Pelodiscus sinensis: one gene and its partner. The protein of the gene in region 1 interacts with the protein of each later gene in a biochemical or structural test. Links are inferred from orthologs where the notes say so. Each region holds a gene or a part of one and is shown on either strand. Other genes may lie near its edges. The genes, in order: SCN8A and FGF14.

Region 1 (8,391 bases):
ATAATTTATCAAAAGACAGGAAACAGAAGTTAGGAATAAATGGTCATTTTTCACAGTGGAAAGAGGCAGATAAGGCCTGAACATCCATATAACCCAGAGATTCAACATATGTATAAAAGATCTTGGAAAAGGGATATATCAGGAGGTGGAAAAGTATGCAAAGGATTCAAAATTACTCAAGATAGGTAAATCTAAAACTGACTGTTAGAAAAGGATCTCATAAAACTGGATGACTGGGCAAATGAAGTTCAATGTTGATAAATGCAAAGTAATGCACACTGAAAAAATAATTACAACTACCCCATAGAAAAGATGGGGTCTATAACAGAGAGCTTGGAGTAATAATGGATAGTTCTTTGAAAATACCTGCTTTATATGCAGCAGCAGCAGTCAAAAATGGTTTTTTTTTAAGTCATAGTTAGGAACCACTGGGAAAGGGATGCCACTGTATTAAACCCTGATATGCCCACATCTTGAATACTATGCAAGGTTCTGGTTACCCCAACTTGAAAAAGATGTATTAGAACTGAGAAAAGTACAGAAAAGGGCAATAAAAATTATTAGAGGAATGAAGCAACCTAGGGGGATTTTAAAAAGACTGGGACTGTTCATCTTTAAAAAAAGAAACAATTAAGGAGAGATATGATAGAGGTCTATGAAATCATGAATAGTGTGGGGAAAAAATAAATACGGAAATATTATTTACCTTTTCCCATAACACGTGAACCAGAAGCCACCCCATGAAATTAATAGCCAAACAAACATAAAGAAGAACTTCTTCACACAATGAACTCATTGCCAGGGGATGTAGTGAGACCACAGATATAACTGGTTTCAAAAAAATGAGCAGATAGGTTCATGGAGGAAATGCCCATCAATGGCAATTAGCCAAAATAATCCAGGACACAACCTAACCTTCAGGAAGACCCTATGTCTTTGACTGACAGAAGCTGGCAATGGAAGACAGGAATGGATCACTCCATCATTGCCAGTTCTGTTCATTCCCACTGAAGCATCTGGAGACAGGATACTGGCCTAGACAGATCATTGGCCTGACCCAGTATGGCCTTTCTTACATTCTAGATAAGACCTCCTGGTAGAATCATGTCACTATGGGCAGTTTCTACCAGCCTCAGAGAAGGAGAAAAACCTAAAGCAGTATGAATTCGTGATCAGTAACTAGGCCCAAGTACAAACCCAGATTATACAAATACACTGTTAGACAGTCACTAACCCTTTACCGTTCCCAGGGAACTGTCCATTTCAGCACCACACACCTGACGCCCACAACAAACAAGGGACCACTTCGCCTCAGCCCATGTGGCAAGAGGGAAGGGAAATATGCTTTAAGGCTATTTTATACATAATAACCATTCATTAGCAAAGGGGAAATCAAACCCCCACAACAGCCACCAAGGAAGTAAAATAAGGCTGCAATCATCATCTGTTGCTTAGCATCACGCACACCCAAGTTCAACAACATGTCCTAGACCTTGGAGCAAAATGCAGGACAATGTAGCACTTTAATTCGTTTTCACACGAGCTTGCATCCCACAGCACAGGAAACACACACATGTAACACCGCCTTCCCCCACCCCAGCACACTCCCGGTACTGATATCCGAATGATCAAGTCTTAAGAGGGCTGTGGGGAAGACACAGACAACGTGTAATACTTTCTGCCCTTCCCCTCCCCCAAAATATCCTACCGGTAGCTGGGCATAGGGACCTGGCTCCTCCTTCCTCCAACCAAATCCTTTTCCCCGAGGAAAGTGCAGGGCGTGTGGGTCACGCGTTCCCAGCTGCAGTGTTACCCGAAGCAGGGTAGGAGTCAGCGGCCGGGGGAAATAGGCCCCCGGTCTCCCAAATAAGGCCCCCCCCCCCACGAACTGCTCCTTGGCAGTGCGATACCTGGGGGTTGCAGCGCCCGCCCTGCGTCTGGAGGGGCAGTGGGGTCGAAACCTCCCACGCCCGGAGCCTCTCCCCCAAACCCCTGGAGGGAGCGCTCCAGAGAGGTGCAGCACCGGGCCCCAACTCCCTGTTTTACCCCCAAGCCTCCGCCACTCGCCTGGAGCTGCAGCTTCCCGCTTGCCCACCCCCACCGCGGCTGGTGTCATTTGGATGGGGGGGGTGACGCCCTGTCTTTACAAACATGCACCAAACAACCCCCCCCCCCTCCCCGGCTTGAAAGCCCCGCGCCCCCTCCTCAGGAAGCTCCGCGCACTAGAGGGCCCCAAGACAGGAGCTGGGACACCAAGACCCCTCTCGGGTCCAAACCGCCAGCCCCCCCCCTCCTCCTCCTCCGCGTCTCCCCCTGCTCCACTTGGCCCCCCGGCCGGAGGGGGGCTCAGGCGGCTGGAGTGTGGGGGGAGCGCTAAAGGGGTAGCCCAGCCCCGCAGCCAGGGGGTTGGGAAGAGCCCAGACGTGAGCGGGGGGTCCGGGCTGGGGGCGGGCTAGGGACAGCCCCCCCCAAATTAGGGGGACGGGCGCCGAGAAGGGGCCTAGATGAAGCCCAGACCGCTGGCAGGACTGAGGGTGGGCGGACTGGGTGGGGGAATGCACCAGCTCGCCGGCTGCTGGAGCGGGGGCTGTCGCAGCTGCAGGAGAGGCGCCCCGGCCAGGGGCTGGCTGACAGGCCGCCCTCGCCCTCCCCCAGGGCAGACAGGTAGCCAGGCTGCAGCGGGCACTGGGGAACCGAGGCCCCGCTTCTCCCAGCTGGGGGAGGGAAAGGAGCTAGCCCGCAGCCCTAGGCGCCCCGGTGGCGGCTAGGATGCCAGGCTGCTGCAAGTAGGGAATAGAACCGCCGCCGGCCAGAAGCCCTAGCTCACCAGTGCAAGGGGGTGCAGGGAACTACCCCCACCTGGGGGGAAGGGGAAGCCCCACGAGCAGCTGGCAAGCGGCCCTGTGCGCCCCAAAGCAGCCGAGAGGTTGCTGCTGCTGGGCCAGACCGATTTGGGGCAGGCGGGGTACCCTGGCACCCCGGGTGGGGAGGCAGGAGAGGAACTGGCCCACATGCACGCAAGGAGCTGTCGGTGCTTGGAAATCGCTCTGCGGCAAAACCCCCGCCTGGAGGGAGGGGGGGAAGGGGGTGCACAAAAAAAAAAAGCAAATGGGGGCAGGGGTTTGGAAGCCCCTCCGCGCAACCTGCGCGCCTCGCAAGGGTCCCGGGCGGGGGCTGCAACTTACTGTGGCTGCTGAACTAGCGTGACTCCCGCAAGGCGTTGCTGGACTGCGGAGGTGGGGAAGCTGCAGGAGAAACTGCGGTTGTCGCCATCTTAGTGCGCTGCCTCCCTTGCCTTCCCCCCAGTGCAGCGTGCAGTTCCCTTGCATAATTGATGACTCTCAGCAGAATGGTTAGGGAGCGTGTCAAAAATCTCTGCACTCGCCTCTATCCCCACCCCCTCTCCCCTTATCTGCCCAGGCAGGGACCATGTCTCCATCCAGCGGCTCAGAACTGGGAGGGGAGGGAGGACTCGGGATTCCAAGGGATGGGGAGGGTAAGGGGAACCCTCTCTTCTCCAAGGAAAATCCCCCACCAAGTAGGGGTTCCCTGCTCTGATGGTGGGATGGTTCCCTGGATGTGCATAGCACTGGGTCCTTGGGTAGCTGGTGGATCACTTAAGCAGAGGGAGATAAATTCCTTGGTAGATGTAGGGGCCCAGAGGGAATCTATCTAGAGAGGAATAGGGGACAGTGAAGCCAAGGGTCAGGGAGGGCCCTGGTGGGAAGAGAGTGTCTCACAGGGCATGTCCACACAGCAGAGCAAAACTCAAAGTAAGCTAAGCAACTTCAGCTACAGCGACTTCAATTGCATAGCTAAGTCGAAATAGCTTAATTCAGCTTTTGGCCCTGTCTCCACAGCAGGAAGTCAAATAAAGAGTGTTCTTCCTTCCACTCTCCTTACTCCTGTTCAATGAGGGTTACAGGAGTCGGAGTAAGAAGTCCTCCAGCTCGGCGTGATTTTGAAATAATGGCTCGCAGTGTGGACATGCTCTGTTATTTCAGAATGTCAGTTATTCCAAAATAACACTTCTGTAGAGACGTACCCGCAGAGTCCACAGAATGGAAACAAGTGTGAGGGCCCCAGCTCTGAAACAAGCTGTAACAATAATGCGTCTGCTCTTTCTCCTGGTCACCAGCCCTTAAGTTCAGTTCCCCCGAGGTCCAAATACACTCGTTGACTGGGAACATACCATAGCACCCTCAGCCAGGCTAGGACAGCTCTGGGCAGAATTAAATCATTTTGGTTTCACAAAGGAGTCTGCTTTCAACTCACTGGCATTCATTCATACCAATGAACCAAGGTTGAGCTTCAAGTGTAGAACTTACCACTGAGAGTCAGCCAAGTGGTAGGCGTTGACCAAAGAGAACCAATAATTCTGTCATATCACCTTATGGTATCAAAGTGCTATCCAAATAATGTGCTAATTAACCATCGCAAATCCAACCAACCTCTAAGGTAGGCATTATTATCCCCATTTTAGTGACATGAAGTGATATGCCAAGTCCGCCGAGGGCAAAAGTGGCAAAGGTGGGAACTGAGCTCAATAATTCCTATATAATATCCTAGAATTCCATCTTGGTCCACATCATTGGGCAAACCTTTGCTTTCAGATAGAATGGTGTAAATTGGGACTAACATCACTCAAGCCACTAGATTGGTTTCCAATCTACTACTGTGTCACGGAGCAGAATTTGGCCCAATGACTCCACAAAACATAGAAGAGACATCCCTGCAAGCAGTTTAGTCTGAATCAGATGCAGACCCAGCAAAGACCACATGGAGAGTAACATTGGATTGGAGAATAATGTATATGTAGTGATTTAGCTTGTCTGTAACTCACTGAACTAAGCTACATTGATATATGCCAGTTGTAACCCAATTTAAGTGTGTTTGCACCACTTCAACTAAATCAGTTTAAAAATTGTGCACTTTTAAAAAGTCCAGCTTGTGCATGCAGAAACAAAGACTTAGTCCACATCAGCAAGAGTCTATAAATTGGCCTTAAGTTCTCCAAGTGCAAGGCCTGGTCTACACAGTTTTTGTATTAATATAACTATTTTGGTTTGAGCTGTGATTTTTTTTATTTTAATTTTTTTTTTACTGACATAGGGCTTGTCTTCATTATACAGTGGATCTACACTGCAGCGATTGATCCATTGGCAGTCGATTTATTGTGTCTGCATAGATGCGATAAATTGACCTCTAAGCCTGTTGACTCCTGTACTCCATCCACCAGGATGAGAAAAGTAGTCCGAGTTGACAGGAGAGCATCAGCCGCGGACCTTACCACATGGAAGTACTGCATTAAGTACACTGAATAGTGTAGCAGAAATTGTGTATCTTAAATCGATGGGGGAGGCTTGTGTCGATTAGGTGTTACATATACCAATGCAGCTCCCTAGTGTGGGTACAATCATAGAGGTACAAAGACACCTTATGTTGCTAGAGCTTATTCTCAAACCCCCACAGAAACAGCTACACTGGTATAAAAGCATCTATATATGGAGACAACCACAGCCTCTTTATTCCAGAATAGTTAAAGTGATACAAATTGTGTGTATAGACAAGTCCTTACACCTCATCTCTGGATTTGATCCAAAAAGTTTTGGAGTTGAAAGGTATTAGGGAAAATACAAATAAATCTCCAGTATCTATTTGGAAACAGTGAGATTGCAGAAACTTTGACCAAAGCCCTGATCCTCTAATTGGACCCAGGTGGGCAGACCCCTGAAACTGCATACAATCCCAACACCTGCCTGAAAGTTTCTTGAACTTTTGCCAAAATGTAAATTTCCATAGCAAAAACAGACAAGTTTCACCTGATTTCAAGTTTAATTATGACACATCCTCTATTTTAAGCATCTGATAAGTCCCATTGACATCAACAGTGCTTAATGGATAACATTTTCATAGTGCCAGCATGACTTAGGAGTCTAGCTAGTCCCTCAATCGTGGATAGATATCTAAGTCATGTAGGTGTTTTCCAAAATTTTACCCCGTGTGTTACATTATATGAGTCTACAACCAGTTTTGCATCTTCAGTAAGGCAACAAGTGCAGGCCAATTTAAAGTGCCCAAAAGAAATCACTAATTTAGGTGCCCAATTTTAGACATGCTAGAACCATCTATGGAAGTGGCAGATGTCCAACATCAGACATTAAGGGTGTCCTTAACATCTGAAAAAAACGGACTCCTTTTAAAGGTGACTCATGGTGGGCACCCAAAGTCAGTAGCCACTTCTGAAGTATTTTTAGACACTCAAGAGATGGTCCATCTCCCTAAACCCAAACTTTTGGAAGCATTTTTTTTATATCCATGCACAATCTGGCTTCTCTCTGGTGTGAATGAAGAGCCTGAACCTGAGAGTTGCTGAACACCTACAATTCCTAGTAGAGTTCAGGAGTGTTAGCAATGTTTAGCACTTCTGGGCTCTAATTATCACTCATTGGCTCTGTGGCAGGGTAAACTTGGTCTGGCTGTGTCTCCTGGTAAGAAGATCCAGGAGTAAAAATGAGTCAGAGAGTAATCTATACAATTACAATGGCAATCTATACAATATTTTTGAAATAGCTACAATCCCTGGAACAATGGACTCTGCATAAGAATGGGCATATTGGATCAGATCAATGGTCCATCTTGTCTCCTGACAGTGGCTCGTCCCAGATGGTTCAGAGGGAATGAACAGAACAGGGTGTGACGGCGCGTTGGGGGTCCCCCGTCTCCTGCACCCCGAAATGGCACAAACAGACTCCACCAGCCAGTGGAATTGAGGATGGTTTATTGCTCCTCCAGGATACAGCACAGCACAGATGTAATCTGGTTACAGGAACTGGGGCTAAGAGGCCTCAGTGCCCCCCCTTGAGATGGGGGAGTCCCAGCCCCCCTCCCCAGCTCCTTCTCCCCTGCTTTCCAGACAGGAACTAACTCTACCTCTCCCAGCCCTGCCCCCAGCCAGGGCAGCCTTCCACCTCCCTTTGTTTCTCCCCATGGGGGGTAGGCTGGTTCAACCGGTATGGTACCTTTGCATAATAAGGTTTTCCCTGATGGGTCTTGCTCCAGACAGCAGAGGTCACCACAGCCCAGCAAGTACCCCCACTACGTCACACAGGGCAACTTATCAAGTAATCCATTCCCTGTCATCCAGTTCCAGCTTCTGTCAGTCACAGGGCTAGAGTCACCCGGAGCACGAGGTTGTATCCCTGAACATCTTAGCTAATAGCCATTAGCAGGCCAATCCTCCATGAACGTATCTAATTGTTTTTTAAAACCCAGTTATTTATGTAGCCTTAACTACATCCCCAGCTACCAGTTTCGCAGGCTATGTTGCCTGAAGAAGTACTTCCCGATGTTTGTTTTAAACCTGCTTTCTATTAATTTTATTGGGTGACCCCCTAGTCCATGTGTGTATGAGAAGAGATAAATAACTCTTCTTTATTACTTTTATTCTACTCATGAATTTACAGACCTCTATTATATTTGCCCTTACTTGTTTCATTTTTAAGGTGAACAGCCCCAGTCTTGTTAATCTCCCTTCAGATGGAATTTGCTCCATCCCCCTAAGCATTTTTGTGCCTCCACATACTTTTCCCAGTTCTAATATATCTTTTTAGAATTTTTTTTAACTGCGCATAATTTTAAAAGTGTGGGTGTACACTGGCTTTACATAGTGACATCATATTGTCTGCCTTATTATCCATCCCTTTCCTAGTGGTTCCTATATTTTTTAGCGTGTTTGACTGCTGCTGCACATTGAACAGATGCTTTCAGAGAACTAGCCATGAGGACACTTTTTATTGAGAGGAAACAGCCATTTTAGACCTCATCTTCTTGTATATATAGTTACAATTATGTTTTCCAATGGGCATTACTTTGCATTTATCAACAAGGAATTTCATTTGCCATTTTGTTGCCTAGTTATGTGAGATCCCTTTGTCCCTTTGTAGAGCTTCAAAGTCTGCTTTGGAACTAACTATCTTAAGTAATTTTGAATCCTCTGCAAACGTTGCCGCCTCACTGTCTATCCCTTTTCCCAGATTATATATGTATGTCAGTTGTGGGCAACTTGTGGCCCACAGGACACACGTGGTGCACTGGGACACCACCTTCAGCCCACCGAACCCCTGGCTGCCCCCTTCTCCATGTGCCTCTCCTGCACCTCAGCATTTTCAGAGCACGCAAATCACCTGATTCACGCTCTGTCCCCACTCCTCCCCTTCCCTTCCAGAGATGGAATGCTGTGAATCAGCTGTTTGCAACATTCCACCTCTGGGAAGGAGGGGGAGGAGTGGGGACAGAGCAAGAATTAGGCAATTTGCACACTCTTAAAGTGCTGGGAGGGTTGGGGAGGAACAGGTAAGAGAGGCGTGGGGAGCAGGAGGATCAGACAGG
Region 2 (7,759 bases), on another chromosome or scaffold:
CCTCCCTGGGTGGCAGCAGAGAAGGGGGGGAACAAAGTTTCCCTATGGGGAGAGCAGAATCCTAGGTGACAGCAAGGCGGCCAAGAGGAAAAGTGGAGATGCCGGTGCACTGACCTCCCCTGGTTTGGGACCAGTCAGGTCCTGAAGGTGGAGGATCAGGGAGGTTCAACCTGTACAACAAAGAATACAAAATGTACTGTGCTCACTTCATATTATTGTATTACAAATATTTGCACTATAAAAATGATAAATTGAAAAATGCCATTTCTTCTGTTTGTCTCATTCAAGTACTGTAGTGCAATCTCTTTATTACGAAAACACAACTTACAAATGTAGATTTGTTTGTTACATAACTGCACTCAAAAGCAAAACAGTATAACACTTTAGAGCCTATAAGTCCACCCGAACCTACTTCTTGTTCAGCCAATTACTAAGAGAAACAAGTTTGTTTACATTTACAGGAGATAATGCTGCTTGGTTCTTATTTACAATTTCACTTGAAAGTGAGAACTGGTGTTTACATGGCATTTTTGTAGCTGTCACTGCAAGATATTTATGTGCTAGATATGCTAAATGTTCGAATGCCCTTTCATGCTTTGGCCACCATTTCTGAGGACATACTTCCATGCTGATGATGCTTGATTAAAAAAATGTGTTAAGTAAATTTGTGATTGAATTCCTTGGGGGAAAATAGTAAGTCTTCTGCTCTGTGTTTTCTCACATTCTGCCATATATGTCATGTTATAACAGTCTTAGATGATGGCCCAGCACATGTTATTTCTTTGAACACCTTCACTGCAATTTGGCAAAACACAAAGAAGGTACCAATGTGAGATTTCCAAAGATAGTTACAGAAATGAACCCCAGCTTTAAGAATCTTAAGTGCCAGAGAGTGTGGAGCATGCTTTCAAAAGTCTTAAAAGAGCAACATTCTGATGTGGAAACTATAGAACCCAAACCACCAAAAAAGAAAATCAACCCTCTGCTGGTGGCATCTGACTCAGATGAGGAAAACGAACATGGTTCAGTCTGCACTGCTTTGGTCCTTATCTAGTAGAGCCCATCATCAGCATAAACGCATATCCTCTGGGATGGTGGTTGAACCATGAAAGGACACATGAATCTTTAGCACATTTGGCACACAAAAAAGCTTGCAATGTTGGCTACAACAGTGCCATGTGAATGCCTATTTTTATTTTCAGGTGACATTGTGGACAAGAAGTGGGCAGCATTATCCCCTGCAAATGTAAACAAACTTGTTTGTCTGAGGCAATGTCTGTACTGCAGACTTTTTTCGGAAGAACCTTTTTTCGGAAGAGAGCTTCCAAAAAAGCTTCTTTCAAAAGAGAGCATCCACACTGCCAAAGCGCATCGAAAAAACAATCTGCTTTTTCAAAAGATAGTGTCCAGACTGAATGGACGCTATCTTGCATGTAAGCTATGATTACTATGGATGATTACTATGGATAGCCACCAGGGCACCTGTGCTTTTTCCTCTTTCCCCTTCTTCTGAAAGAACTCCCTCTTCCTAGTCCACACACACCTTTTTCCGAAAGAGCTCTTTTGGAAAAAGGCTTCTTCCTCGTAGAAAAAGGATTACCAACACCGGAAAAAACCCTCTGTTCTTTCGATTTACTTTAGAAAGAACGTGATTGCTGTGTGGACATAACTCAGGTTTAGTCAGAAAAATGGGCATTTTTTCCGACAAAACTCTGTATTGTAGACATACCCTGAGTGATTGCCTGAAAAAGAAATAGGACAGAGTGGACCTGTAGGCTCTAAAATTTTACACTGTCTTATTTTAGAATGCAGTTATTTTTGTATATAATTCTACATTTGTAAGTTCAAGTTCCATGATAAAGAGAATGCACTACAATACTTGTATCAAGTGAATGAAAATGCTATTTCTTTTATTTTTACAATGTAAATATTTATAATAAATACAAAGTGTGCACTGGATACTTTGTATTCTGTGTTGTAACAGAAATCAATATATTTGAAAATGTGAAAAAAATCAAAATATATGTATACAAATGGTATTCTATTATTGCATAAGAGCATTGTTAATTGCACAATTAAGCATGATTAATTTGTAATCACTTAACAGGCCTATTTACAGTTATTTATTTCTTTTTACCTGAAATGCCAATGAAAGGCAATATGGAATCTACATACATTTATATCAAAGGTTTCTTGTTTGACAAAGTGTTTTGTTAATATATGGAAAGAAAAATGTTAATTAGCATATGTTTGTTACTTTATCCACTAGCAGTTTGGTCATTTAAAAGGAATACATTAGCATTAAGTTAATCTTTGAAATAATTAACAATTAAATAAATGACATTGTTTATTTACATAGCCAGCTGCATCTAGCTCAAATGAATTTGATTTGAGACATATTTATCAGTACTTTAATTCCGTTTTTTAGAATTTTACCTAGATTTTAAACATTTTGAGTGTGAATTTGCAACACTCATAAAAATACATAATGTAGAGATTTTCCATTTTTTTTATGTTTTAGAAATGTGCCTAGCAAAACAGCAAATTAGTAGTTAGAAATGAGAAGAGGGAAAACCAGAAAATATTGAAAAGCCTAGTGCTCCTTCAATCCCCTTGATGGGTTTAGATATCCACACTTTTCTTAATCTGAAAGAAAATAGGGAGGTTTTAATGCAGCAAATTTTTTCTCCTAAACACAATGTAATTACTGGACCTTGGGCAAACTGATGTGTCTATACTTCCATAGGTCTGTTAGCAAAACCTTCACTCTGACTAAAATAACACACTTTTTATCATAGGTTAAGACAGCAGAGGGCTCCCTTGAGTTTTCTTTGGTATATCTAAAGCTGTAAACAACTATTCTGCATTTCTGAGAAGCAAGCAGAAAGCTTTTATGTTTGATCTCTGGAGTAGGAAACACCGTCCCTTTCCCACCTTACAGCAAAAACCCTCAGATTTACAGTGGCAAACTGAGTTAACTTTACATGTTTGTGGTGAAGCTCTGTTTAGAGGAGATTAGATAAAGTGAGCACTGATTGTCGATTATTTATCAATGAGTGTTTTAGAACGATCCTTTAAGGGAGTATGGCGTTGTTGAGGCAAACCGCGTGGCTAAATCACAAGGCAACGCTATAACAAACAAAGCTAGATCGCGGTGGGGGTGGGGGTTCTTGCTTCGCTCCCCCCCCCCCCCTTTGTCTGAAATACCCGCATAAACAACCACGACCCCTTTCTTAAGGACTCCTTTCTTTTTGTTCTGGTACTTCCAAAGCAAGGGAAATGTCCCACCTTTAAAATGCTGAAGTTCACCACAGAGGTTTCATTGTCCTGTCGCAGTAGGAGGACGGATCCAGTTAGAAGACAGTATGGACTAAACCCTCAGTCTTTTTAAAGTGTGAGGAAGGGAAGTAGTTTTAAACACAGTCTATTATACAACGCGAAAACACGACATCAAATACAATCAAATTTAAAACTCCTCTGATTGTATTAATTAGGGTAACTGTAGCAATTGTATGGAAATTGCCGCACGGTTGAAATCGCCAGACAGAAAATCCAATCTGAATGCTTTTTAGCTGAATCTGTTTAGAACCACTTTCAAATAAAATTGAATTAAAACGTATTATCCAGATCTAATTGAGCGTGTACTCCTCCGAGTTGATCTAGGTTTAACATGAAATGTGTGTAAAGGAGATGCTTCCATAAGCTTTTGCCCTCGATGTGAAAATAGTTCTTTGTAGATTAAAGGATTTAGGGAAATAATGGTCGAAACTGGAGCAACTGAACTATCCGTTCAAATAACAGCATGTTGAGCTTTGTATTGCGAAATGGTATATTTTGCAAGGAAGTGTTTAAGCTTCAAAACATGGTATTGGAAAGAGCTGGCTTTTGAGCTGAATACACCTAAAGGGAAAATAGGGCAGTTTGAAAGCGGGACCAGTACAATAACAAGTTTTAAAGCCTGTCTAATGGGGGAGATATACACACAAGGAGACGACCGCTGCACGAAACCTATTAATTATGTACATAGAACAGTAATTGTAAAGTTTGACCACTATCAGAGACAGATCGACCAAAACCAAATTGATAGACCCGAGAGGGGGGTCCAAAAGCCATGCTTACAGAAAATAGGCTAATAAGGAAAAGTCCTGTGGCACCTTCCTAACACGTTTATTGGCGCACAAACTTTGGTGGGCAAAGACCCACTTTTGCCCACGAAAACTTATGCTCCAATAAATCTGTTAGTCTGTAAGGTGCCAAAGGATTTCTGGTTGTTTATGCAGATTCAGACCCCTCTGATTCTAGGCTAATCAGGATTGTGAAACCTATTGTGTCAAATGTATTGGTAAACTCCTTGGGGGAGACCATATGGATTTTCTATACCTGGTACATATTGCCAGTGCCCAATAGAGAACACATCCATATTTTATCAAACACAACAATAACAGCAATCCATAATTGCCCATTAGAGGGCGATCAATAAATCTACCGCCCACGTAGAGATGTTTGTAGGCGCAGCACAGGATACATTCAGTGGTTATAAAGCCCTGTAGACTAGCTGGTTTATCTTCTCGTTTAAAAGTATATTGGTTGTCTTGTTTCTCTGTAAGACAAAGAGTGTGTATCGGTTTTAGCTGGAAGGTTCCCTGGGCTGCGTAGGCGTGTTTCCTTCTAACCAGCTCTTAATCATACGCAGGAGGAGTGATTTTTTGAACAGAGGGAATCGGCTTGCCTAGCAACCTTTTCCAGGTTGTGTAAGTCTGAAGAATATTTGGGCTTTCACTTCCGAACTCCCAGTAGTGAGAGAAAAGGGTCCTACGCCCGGGTGTGTCCTGGGAGCCATAAATGTGTGTCCCAGAGTAGAAAGCCCCTCTCTCTCCTTCCCTCCCTAAGCGGCTGGGGATTCATTTACCCAAAGCAGCTGTGTGTCCAATACAGAAGGAAGGGCTGGGGGGAAGGTGATGTTATTGCTGAGGCTGAGCGCCGTGTGTTTACACGGGACTCTGACTTCTCTTTCGTTCCCTTGCATCCCACCCCAACTTCCCCGCCTTTGGCTAGGCTGCTGGAGAGCCACCCGGGGAAGTAGGGGGTCGGGATTGCCTGAGTGCCTGGCCGCTATTCGCTGTCATCCTGCTCCCTAGCCGCTTCGCAGTGGCAGGATCGGCTGTTACCGCTCCGTTCGCTGGGGCTTCTCTCCGAATTATCGCGTTCACACTGTGCCTGTGCCGTGCGAGGCGCGAACGGGTCCTTTTATAGCGCGTTCTTTCGCCTCCCTCTCCCCCGGCTCCCCCGCCCTCGCGGTGTCACCATTGAAAAATGACGAGCCTGCCTCCAGAAGGGAGATCCCCGCAACTTTGAGCGGGCTGGGCGGAGTGGAGGAGCCGAGGCTCCCGGCTCCAGCCGGCCGGCTTGGGACCGCGTGTGGGGGAGTGTGTGCAAGGGGGATAGGGGCTCGCGCGCGCGCGCGGGAGAGAGCGAGCCAGACCCAGCCACCCCTGGGGCTTTGGTAGCGCCTGGGATTAGCCGGCTGCCTCGCCCTCCCTCCAACCAGAGCGGAGAGTTTGTGGAGGGCGCGCCGCGCATTGCAATCAGGGAACCCCAGCGGGGAGCAGAGGCGGCTGCCGCTGCATGGGGACCCGTTAGAAACGAGCAATTCCCCCTCCCCAAAAAATAGCCCCGGCCCTCTCTTATCACCCACCGCCCCCCCCCCCTGTTATTTTTCTCTGCTGCTGCTTTCCCGGCTGGAGGGAGCCGCGGCGGAGCGGCTGCGATCGCAGCTCTCCCGCCGGAGCAGGCGATGGCTCTCTCCAGATGCTGATTGCTCAAGCACTTGGCGGACACCGGGCAGGAGGCGCGGGCAGGAGGCGGCTGTAGCAGCGGCGGCAGCTGCAATGGGAGTCGGCTGCTGAGGGGCGGCCGGGGGAAGGTGCCTGCCGCCTGCCCCGAGCCGGAGCCGCCGGAGCCCGGGCAGGTGGCACCCGCGGCGGGGGGCCCATGCGGTGACAGCGCCGGGCCGCGGGTGCCCCCTGGGTGCAGTTGCGGCCGGAGGAGGGTCCCACTTGTCCCTGGCGCTCGGGGAATGGGGCCCCGCCGCGGCTGAGCCCCAGCGCCCGCCGAGCCCTTGAACTCCGCTGCAGTGAGCCGCGAGCCGGCTGCCGGGAGCAGCCACCATGGCCGCGGCCATCGCCAGCGGCTTGATCCGCCAGAAGCGGCAGGCGAGGGAGCAGCACTGGGACCGGCCCTCGGCCAGCAGGAGGCGGAGCAGCCCCAGCAAGAACCGGGGGCTCTGCAACGGCAACCTGGTGGATATTTTCTCCAAGGTCCGCATCTTCGGGCTCAAGAAGCGAAGGTTGCGGCGCCAAGGTGTGTTTGTGAGTCCGCCCCTTGTCTCTGTCTGTCTGCCCTTCCCCCAGGAGCCGGGAGTGGGGACAACCTGTAGCGAGCCACCGCCAGGCCAGCAGCCGGGCAAGTTACACGCGGCAAACTCTGCTGGACTGGCGGCTAATGCCATCTCCCACCTAGTACCTGCCCCAGCCCTGAGCTCCGGGCACTGATGTTCCCTCGCTAACTACGGGGTACGCTGCCCGATGGGGCTGGGTAGAAAATACACACGGATCGGTACACATTAGCTCGAGGGGCTCGCAGAGCCAACAGATCGTAAAAGCGGTGGCACAGTGTTATCTGTACATGCTGTTGGTCGGGGAAGTTACTTACTCACAGAATACACCTCCTCAATAATGTAATGCACTATGCCATATCTACCACTTTCCCTGGGTGTTAGCTTTAGTAAACAGAGTCCAGTGGTATCCCTCAAAGGGGCTTTAGGTGTGGTGTCCTCTTCCCTGCACTAGTTGCCTCATCCTGTAATGCAAAGTCTTTTGTATTTCGCTCCCATTCACAAAGCGCTTTACAGGCAGCACTGAGAAAGACGAGCAGCAGTTCAGATGTATGTTAATGCCCTGTATTATCCAGGATGTAATTTATATAGAAAGCAAGGTTTCCTCAAATGCTAGTCTAGTCAGAAGAATAAAGCAACGCCTACAATTGATAGATCCCCTGTTTAAAAAAAACATGAGCGCCTTAGAGATTTAGTTTTTAAAAGGCAAAGAAGGATAAAAACAATCGTTTAATTGAGGAGAGGATAGAATTAAGTGCATTACGTGATATTGATAACGAATGGCTACATAATAAGGGCTCTAATACCCACAACCTATTAATGTTTTTTTAAAGGACGAATAGTACATGTTCAGCTTCTACATGTTCGGTGTCTGACAAAGCAACCTCAGCGAACTATCGCGGATCATTCGTTTCTTTATGCTGTGTGCTCATTTTACATACACTACAAGCGTTCTGTTCTAGACTCCCATTCTTAACAGTAAAGGATCATAATTTTAATGTCCGTAATATGAAAGTAGGAAGTGCATCATGCACTTGTTTAAGGTCCATGAGGGATATTATCACGTACTGTGTATACTCGTGTGTGTGTGTGTGTGTGTAATATACACATACACACACATATATCAATAAAAGTTAGGGCCTATATTATAATGGATAAAATTTGTGGATTATTATAATTTTTTCCTGTAGGTTTCAGAATAGTCAATAAACAGAGGTCTTCAGAATTACACTACTAGCATGATTGTTATTTCCCCCAATGCTTTGTATTAAAATCTTGTACACAAAAGGATAAACCCATATACAAAACATGAATATTTACCATGTTTCTTAATTTTATTGCCCAATTAAAGAGTTATTATACCCT

The links.
Region 2: the proteins of SCN8A (region 1) and FGF14 form a complex in vitro, tested with the Homo sapiens proteins (2 studies listed by BioGRID). The link is inferred for Pelodiscus sinensis from reciprocal best matches to the Homo sapiens genes SCN8A and FGF14.

What each region holds. Positions count from the first base shown.
Region 1 is NC_134729.1:5,870,841-5,879,231, forward strand, and holds the start of SCN8A (sodium channel protein type 8 subunit alpha), read right to left. Parts: upstream 3,319-8,391; 5' UTR 3,186-3,318; intron 1-3,185. UniProt on the Homo sapiens protein: Pore-forming subunit of a voltage-gated sodium channel complex assuming opened or closed conformations in response to the voltage difference across membranes and through which sodium ions selectively pass along their electrochemical gradient.
Region 2 is NC_134711.1:246,526,433-246,534,191, forward strand, and holds the start of FGF14 (fibroblast growth factor 14), read left to right. Parts: upstream 1-4,538; 5' UTR 4,539-6,167; coding exon 6,168-6,360; intron 6,361-7,759. UniProt on the Homo sapiens protein: Probably involved in nervous system development and function.